2 linked regions of the Daphnia pulex genome follow. The protein of the gene in region 1 binds, or shares a complex with, the protein of each later gene. Links are inferred from orthologs where the notes say so. Each region holds a gene or a part of one and is shown on either strand. Other genes may lie near its edges. The genes, in order: THO complex subunit 2-like and THO complex subunit 3-like.

Region 1 (4,585 bases):
TCCACCATTAGATGCTGGATAGCCTGGGTAATTCGTTTGGCCTATCGGTACCGGATAGGTTGGTTTGGGAGAAGGATAAGGGGTCGAAGGCGTAGTGACATAATGGTTCGGTTTGGTTGTGACGTAATAACTGGGGTTTGGAGTAGGAAGTGTGACCTCATAATTTGGTTTGTTCGGAGGTGGCGTTGACTGGTAGCCTGACGGGTACCCAGATCCATAAGATCCAACCGGAGTGCTCGTCGTTTGAGGATAACCGACACTCGTAGCTGGTGGGTATGTAAAGTATACTTCCTGGTGATTTTGGTGATGATAGTTGGACGACGCTGGGTATCCGGTTGGTTTGGGAACTCCATAAGTGTGTGAGGGCTGTGCGGGTCTATTAGGTTGCGGACTATAAGAAGGTACTGGTGGTCTGGCAATCGGATAACCAATCGGTGCCTTTGGTTGGTTGTAGCCCTTGAAGTGTAGACCGGGAGGTGGGCGAGGCGTTGCAAAAGTAGGAAAATAGAGTCGAGGTTCAACCCGTGATGTGCCGTACGTGTTGGACCATCTTCTCTTTAATCGTATCTGGTTTGTTGGATCCAAGGTAGATGTTGAATTTGAATAATTCTGTTGCCCTTGGAAAATGATAAAAATTTGTTTTATTTTATTGCGTCAGCATCGTTTGTGGGTTTAAATTGGGAAAATTCATTCTTACTGCTCGATTGGTTTTCGGAATCGCTGTTTTTCGGATCGACAAAGGCAGCAGCTGATGTCGAAAATAAAATTGCGGCGACGATGAGAAGAGAATTAAGAGGAGACCACTTGGCGGTTCGACACCGCATCTTGAAATCAAACGGGTCACAGAAAATCACCTCCAGTTATAAAGGTTTGCTTGTTGACAGCCATGGCTTCTGGATGTTCGGTTAAATCACCGTTGTTGACACCTTCTTTGGCCTACATTTTTATATCAATTAAATAAAAAAGGAAAGAGGAATTTTGGAAATACTATACATGTAAGGCGTCAAAGATGTCATCAAGGATGTGACGTATTTGCCAGTCATTGCTCTTTGTTTAAAAAAATGGAATATGTGTGTTACATATTTTAAATGTTCTTTTTATTTTTGACGATTCTTATTGTTTGATTTAAGTCCATGTGAATTCGCCCTATCTTATCCTATTTTATGTCTTTTCTACCGTTTCCCCGTTGTAAATGGTGTCACGACACCGGCAACCCAACAGATTCACGCCCTTCCTGTAGATTTCGTCTCTTAGGAAAGCGTGAATCCGTACCTCTTGTACTTATGTACTTTTTCTTTAATGATTTCTATTCTTTCGAGTTATTTATCATAATTATTTGGATATCGATAAAATTTTTTAAATTGAAAAAAAGGCCAAAATTATTGTTAGTTTTGTCGGAGTTATTATAAAAATAAATCGTTGTTACTCTCCGCATTAAAGTCTGTCTTATAATTGAAGATGCCGTTTCTCATTTAGAAGAATTTCTAGAGAAGGACGGGGAGAAAGAGAAAGTCCCAGTATATACGTATACCCATCTGCACGCACAGCTATATAAGCCGAAACGGCAGGAACGAATTTGTACAAATAGTCCTACTCAACCGGAAGCCAATACGGATCTTTACTAAAACCAAGAAATATTTTTATCGCTCACGTGTTGCTCCGCTAGCAGTCACTACCTGCTGGGTCTGTCATCCTTTTACCTGCGACGCTACATCCATTTGGTCCACCTCCAGTTTATCATTGCTAGAAGTAACAGCTTGAAATGTTTGTTCCTAGATGGCGTTAGCAGCAGCCTCTTTTTCCTCTTCCCCCTATAAAACTAAAATCGAAATATCTTCTTTACTGTAACGTTTAAATAATAAGAATATTTTGTGTAATTCGATTCGCCTTTGAAAACTTCATTAAACCGTATGGCTTAAAAATTGTTCTGACAAATAACCCCCCGACAAGCTTACAGGAATAGGAAAAGATCCCGTCTTTAATTAGAGTACTCCGTGCTAAAGTGGTCGGTAGGCTACTCAGTAGACTCCAGCAAGGCTCTAAGCTTGAGTCCATGTTTATGTTGTCACATATGCCACCAAAGAGTCGCTTCCCCGTTTGTTTGGTATTTGTTCGTTGTCGTTTGAATTCGCTTCTGCAATTTTGAATGGCCTAAGGACTTCTAAAGACAGATACTGCGACGTGTGAAGTGGAAATCACCGAATTCGTCAGTTGTTGCTTAATCGAGGGACACAAATGGCGTCGTTAATTTCGCAAGAAGTATGGAAAACGTGGGAATCACATGGACACGTTGAATTGTAAGACTCAACAATTGTTTTATATCACTGACACTACATTCTTTGACTTCAACAATAGTAATAATATGACATAACTAATTTACTCTTTTTATCTGGTAATCTTTTAGTGTGAAACTGCTGGAAAGCTGGATTGGCACCGATAACAATAGTCAACATATTCCTTCAATTGGGAGTAAAGGTTTGTTGTTATTACATTACATTTCCAAGTATTTTATTTATCTTATGTTTTACTGTTTTTAGATTTGTTTCGTGCTATATATGAGTTCTTGTGGCAAGCCATCAAAGGTGGAATAAAAAGAGAACTAGTTTTATCAACCATTGGAGATATTCTGGTATAGATTTTGATCTTAACACTTTTTATTTGTGATTTTGTCAATTAAATATTTGTAAGTAGGTTTTGCATGGTGATCTAGCATCGTTGACACTAGATGTTCTCAATGTTATTGACCATGAAACGTTGGTTAATGAGAATAATGATGAACGTCAAAAGTTGTGCAGCATGCTAAAAGAACTGGAAAACTGGCTAAGTGATTCAATGATTAAGGAACGCTTAGAGATTGACACATTACAAGATTGCAGTTTACTGAAGACAAAGAAGATATTTTACTCCCGTTTCATCAAAGTAAAGACAAAATTATTTTACAAGCAGCAGAAGTTTAATCTTTTACGGGAGGAGAATGAAGGCTATGCAAAACTAATAACTGAACTCAATCAAGAGATTGATGACACCATCACTCCACTCTACATTTTACAAGTAAACATTTGATTAATATTATTCTCTGACCATGTACCAATATTCCCCTCACTTACACAGGTTGTACAGTCTTTAATTGGTTGCTTCAACTTGGATCCGAATCGGGTGTTAGATGTGATTATGGAATCATTTGAATGTCGGCCGCAGCTTCACAGTCGTCTTTTTGTTCCACTGATTCGCTCGTACATGTCAGATTCGTTGACTTTGTGTGAAGTCTTAGGGTTCAAGTTTACTTCATTCGACCCGTCTTCTACACCAAACTCTCTTTTCGTCATCACTGCTCTTTTATTGCAGCATGGAGTCATTCATCTTGAAGATATTTATCGTTGGCTTACGCCTAAAGATAGCGAAATCGACGAATCCGCCGCTAAAGAATTAGCAGACGCAAAAGAGTATGCTCGTCGAATGAATATCATCGCTGTTCCAAAAGAAGACGACAAAATTGAAGAATTGATTGAAGAAAGGGCACCTTATAATCAGAAATTTGGACTGTGTGAAGCTCTTCTTTCAGTGGGAGCTTGGGAACAAGCGTCTACTCTTCTTAAACGTCACCCAGAGTTTTTCGTCACATCTTATCGACCCATCTCGAGCAGTATCTGCAAACTGGTCGACTACGTAATTGAACCGGTGTATCGCACTCGATGCTGCATATCTCCAAAACTTTCGGGCAAACCAGTTTTATCTGTCGGTGTATGGAACTTCCCCAAGACAGCCAAGGAAATGAAGGAGTTGAGAGAAACTGCTTTCCCCATGCTACTCTCTTTGGGACCCCATTTGTATAACGATCCTGTCCTCCTGCACAAGTTAATCCGTTTGTGCAATACTGCGTTAGATGATTGTGGCTTGAACAGTTCAAAGAAATTTCCGCAAGACCTGGATTCGCTGTACTTTGACGTTCTTACACTGTTTGATGTTGTAATATTGCCATCACTCGCCCTCATGGAATCGAATTGCTGTGTAGCAGAAGAAATCTGGAATGTTTTGAAGAAATTGCCTTATGAGCACCGTTATCGTCTGTATGGCCTGTGGAAGAACGACACGTTTCAGAGCCATTCTTTGCTGATCCGCCGCAAAGTAGACTGCGTTAAACGCATCAAGTACATCATGAAGCGTGTGAGCAAGGATAACGTCAAGCCCACGGGTCGAGTGCTTGGCAAGCTTAGTCACAGCTGCCCTGGCTTTCTTTTTGACTACATTTTGTCCCAAATTCAAATCTACGACAACCTGATTGGCCCTGTTGTGGATTCACTCAAGTACCTCACAAACCTATCGTATGATGTTCTTGGTTATTGCGTTTTGGAAGCACTTTCGAACCCAGACAAGGAGCGCACCAACCATGATGGAACTACCATCTCTATGTGGCTGACGGCTCTTTCCGCCTTTTGTGGAGCCATTTACAAGAAATACAACATAGATTTGACTGGACTTCTCCAATACGTTGCCAATCAACTAAAGGCGCAAAAGAGCCTAGATCTTCTTATTCTTCAGGTACTTATATTGATTTAATATAATAAATATCTTTTAAAAACAACTT
Region 2 (3,889 bases), on another chromosome or scaffold:
GGAATGGAATCCAATCAAAAAAAAGGAAGAAGAAAAAATAAAGGGACCAATTGGCCAATACAAACGGAACGAAACGACGGCGATGATATTATATAGCTACACGGAATAGGAGAGACTCTTATTCATCTAATAATATCCAGCGAATCTCGAAAAAAAAGGTCTAAAAAAGAAGAAGAATGGAATGCAATTAGCATAGTTCATCAATATGGAACAGGCAACAATAACGCAATCATCGTCGGGCGGAATGCCTATTGTAATAGAAACTCTCCTATATATATTATATACTTAATGTTACAACACACACAGCAGAGCTGCCCTGCTGTATTTATATATATATATATCCGCGTTGTAAATCACCGGGATATATATAACGGGCCAGCGGGTCCAATCTCCATAAAGTGTCGAGGCACACCAGCAACAAAAAAGCGTATCATCGGAATCGTATTACCCTATAGACGTTTTCATTTGAAGGGGAGAAGGAAGAGTTTTAAATAAAATAGAAGGAAAAAAAACCCTTTTTTTTCCTTTATTTCTTATATATTTTTATTTTACTACTCTTTGGGTATAGGCCAACGAGACGAGTCCAGTGACCAGCCAAAAGGTCCAGGGAAAGAGAGAGAAAAAGAATCTTTTTGGGCAAAACGAAACGAGACGTTCGCAGATTTACGACTGCGATATGTTATTACGCACACACGGGACCGATTGGCTATCAAAATAGAAGAAGAAGAAGAAGAAGTTCTTTTGGTGTGTGTAATGATGGAGAGAGCAGCCAAAGAAAAAGGAGGTCCAGTAGGAGCATCAGCAGCAGCCCAGGCCAGGCCAGGCCACAAGGCGCGCTTGGACGCCCAGTCGCTTTTATCGTCAGTTAACGGGCAAGAAATTTGCTTATTTTATGGCCGTCTTCTTTTTCTTTTCTCTCCTAGAAGAAGAAGAAGAGGGGGACTCGTAAATTTCCCTTTTTTTTCTCCTTACTACCCCCGCTCTCTTCTTCCATCGACTATACAGCTGTAAATTCTTGTAAAGTCGATGCTAACTCGTTAGTCGTTAGCGTTATATAGAAGCCGTTCTGGTTGTAGTTGTTGTAGATGTCTTATGTGCTGTGTGCCGGCGCTGTGGGTCCAGCATGCACTGGCAGAGAGAGACTACGACTTTTTGTTGCTTTATATTACCCCGATGCCCAAACACGGATCATTTGATGATTGCGCGCTGTGAAAGAAAGAAAAAAAGAACAAAATATAAGAAAACTGAAATCTATATAGTCGTAGTTTTTGAAGAAACGGGCATAGCTGCTGCTGCTGCTGCCCATCCCAGTTGATTTGGACTCGGTTCTTTTGGCTTTGGCGCATATTATTGCCGTGTAGATATATATATATTTATCGGACGTGTAATAACATTCAAAATGGCGCAAGCTCCACAGCTATAGTTTATATGTGTAGCTGGGACTTGGGAGAGAGAGTATAATATTCATGCAGCTAGATCTCGTCTGATAGAGGCTGGACGCCCTTCGCTTGTTGAGTTCATTGTGTGTGTGTGTGTGTGTACTAGTCACGCTTGATTACGGTGTGTGTCCCGTGTTTGGTAACAAAAGCATTTCCACCTATCCGCCCACCCTACGCCTTTTTTATTTTATTTTTGTTATTTTGGGCCAGCCAGTCGATAAACGTATCGTTTAACGTCCGACTAATCAGAGCCAATTGAGGAGACGACATTACCACCACGCATTCCTTGCCCGACCCCTTTTTTCTTTTATTAGTGAGTTAGGAATTTCAAATTTCGCGCTCCAACTGCCATCTGGCGGATGAAGAAGAGACTTGGCATTGGAAATGGCGGGACGACCGGCTTCGCGTTAGTTCGTCTGCACACACTGTGTTTTGTTGACACGCGAGTAAAGGTATATAAACCGCTTTTTTTTCCCGAAATTATAAGAAGATGGCAGTCGCCGAATTGGAAGAGCTGAAAAATCATTTTAAAACGCACACTCGAACGAGGGAAGTCTCTGCACATTCGGCCAAGGTTCACACGGTTGATTGGAATTGCGATGGAAGACGGTTAGCGTCGGGTTCCTTTGACAAGACGGTGTGCATTTTTACTATGGAAAGCGACAGACTGGTTAGTATTAGTCCCGGCTTATCAATCATGCAGCAATTATAATGGAGCTTGAGGCATTCTGTTTCAGGTTAAGGAGCAAACGTTTGTGGGACACAATGACAGTGTCGATCAGCTATGTTGGCACGAAACCAATCCTGATTTGCTCAGCACCGCCAGTGGAGACAAAACCATGAGAGTTTGGGATGCAAGAGTTAAAAAGAGTGTCGCCACAGTAAACACCAAGGGTACAATTAATTACGAAATTATGCTTAAACATTCAATCCTTCATTAATGTGATTTGACAGGAGAAAATATCAACATCACGTGGTCACCTGATGGAAATTCCATTGCAGTGGGAAATAAGGAAGACCTTGTTACTTTTATTGATGCCAGGAATTTTAAGATTAAAATAGAACATCCGTTCAAGTTTGAAGTCAACGAAATAGAATGGAACAAGGCTAGCAATCTTTTCTTTTTGACTAGTGGGCAAGGCTGCATCCACATATTAGAGTAATGATGAATTTTCTTCCCCCTGCTTTCAATCTAGCATGACGCTATCAATTCTCTTGTATCTAGTTACCCAGAGCTTACGACCGTTCACGTCACACAGGCTCACCCCGCCAACTGCATTTGCATCGAATTCGACCCCACTGGACGGTACTTTGCCACTGGGTCGGCCGACGCCCTAGTCTCTCTGTGGGATGCCGATGAAATTGCTTGTTTGCGCACTTTCTCCAAGTAACATTAATGCCAATAATAACGTGCCGTTTTCTATTGAGGTTATTCAATTACTGACTGGGTGTTTCCCCTTTAGGTTGGATTGGCCAGTTCGGACATTGAGTTTCAGTCACGATGGGTCCATGTTGGCGTCCGGGTCAGAGGACTTGCTGATCGACGTCAGCCACGTAGGTACAGGCGAGCGCGTTATCAGCATTCCAGTTGACACGCCAACCTTCACAGTCGCCTGGCATCCACGCTCTCACCTGCTGGCCTACGCCTGTGACGATAAAGACGACGGAAACAGAGACGCCGGAACTGTGAAGCTCTTTGGTCTCTCTAACGAGTGATGGGCCCATACGAATCAAAACTAGGAGGTCTCGTGTTTTATACAGAATCCAGCTTTTTTTTTTTTATTTTTTCACTTGCAGATTTTCTTGTTTACTCTTGTCAAGAACTATTTGCCAAGCTTACAAACTTCAACTGTGTTGAGAGAGATACAAGTAAAATGGATCTCAGATCAGAGATCTTTTCCAGAAAACTGAATTGTTCCAGGACACATTTTCCCTTTTTTTTAACGTTCAAACATAATTAATTACTCAATAATAATTTTCGTTATTACTAGATCCCATATTTGTTAAAAGGTGATGACCGTTCGGCACAAATTTTTAGTCAATAATGAAAAAAACAGGGCGTTAACGTTTAAAGAAATACGACGCTTTTATGCAAGCAGTCCATCTAGGTAAGACTTATTCCTATCCTTATTCTATTACTAAAGGCAAATTAATTTAAGTTGTCGTGATAATAAGCATATTTCGTAGAAACAGATAGATTGATAGTTTGTGTTACATCATACGTGCCGTTGATTATGTACAAGGCTAAAATGTCGTTTGATATTTCGTAACGGTAGTTGGTAAACACTAAACACACACACCCATATATAGGCAGCAAAGCGGCACATAGACGAATGTATCGTTTTGCTCGAGTAGATTCATGTTCATTGTTCTCCGCAGCTAGAACGTGAAATACTCGGAATGCTTCTCGTGTCATTCCAACATGGAAAGCTGTTATTTATCTGCTTTGC

The links.
Region 2: the proteins of THO complex subunit 2-like (region 1) and THO complex subunit 3-like are in contact, whole or in part, in a cryo-EM structure (PDB 7ZNL), measured with the Homo sapiens proteins. The link is inferred for Daphnia pulex from reciprocal best matches to the Homo sapiens genes THOC2 and THOC3. Residues at the interface, in NP_001075019.1 of Homo sapiens: Tyr395, Arg396, Pro401, Lys402, Gly403, Ala404, Lys405, Gly406, Ser407, Pro446, Ile447, Ala450, Arg454, Cys500, Asn501, Ala502, Cys503, Met504, Glu506, Pro563, Arg566, Gln567, Lys570, His573, Tyr603, Leu604, Thr605; in NP_115737.1 of Homo sapiens: Asp193, Met196, Ile208, Val217, Gln218, Asn221, Ala222, Pro224, Ser225, Ala244, Asp245, Ala246, Leu247, Ser249, Trp251, Asp252, Asp254, Glu255, Leu256, Val257, Cys258, Val259, Cys261, Ser263, Leu265, Asp266, Pro268.

What each region holds. Positions count from the first base shown.
Region 1 is NC_060017.1:3,791,843-3,796,427, forward strand, and holds the start of THO complex subunit 2-like, read left to right. Parts: upstream 1-1,764; 5' UTR 1,765-2,235; coding exon 2,236-2,297; intron 2,298-2,404; coding exon 2,405-2,475; intron 2,476-2,537; coding exon 2,538-2,629; intron 2,630-2,691; coding exon 2,692-3,051; intron 3,052-3,111; coding exon 3,112-4,539; intron 4,540-4,585. Other genes in the region: uncharacterized protein LOC124205981, read right to left, coding at 1-617, 698-824. UniProt on the Homo sapiens protein: Component of the THO subcomplex of the TREX complex which is thought to couple mRNA transcription, processing and nuclear export, and which specifically associates with spliced mRNA and not with unspliced pre-mRNA.
Region 2 is NC_060028.1:7,657,402-7,661,290, reverse strand, and holds THO complex subunit 3-like, read left to right. Parts: upstream 1-1,475; 5' UTR 1,476-1,929; coding exon 1,930-2,109; intron 2,110-2,176; coding exon 2,177-2,333; intron 2,334-2,393; coding exon 2,394-2,598; intron 2,599-2,664; coding exon 2,665-2,826; intron 2,827-2,902; coding exon 2,903-3,155; 3' UTR 3,156-3,351; downstream 3,352-3,889. UniProt on the Homo sapiens protein: Component of the THO subcomplex of the TREX complex which is thought to couple mRNA transcription, processing and nuclear export, and which specifically associates with spliced mRNA and not with unspliced pre-mRNA.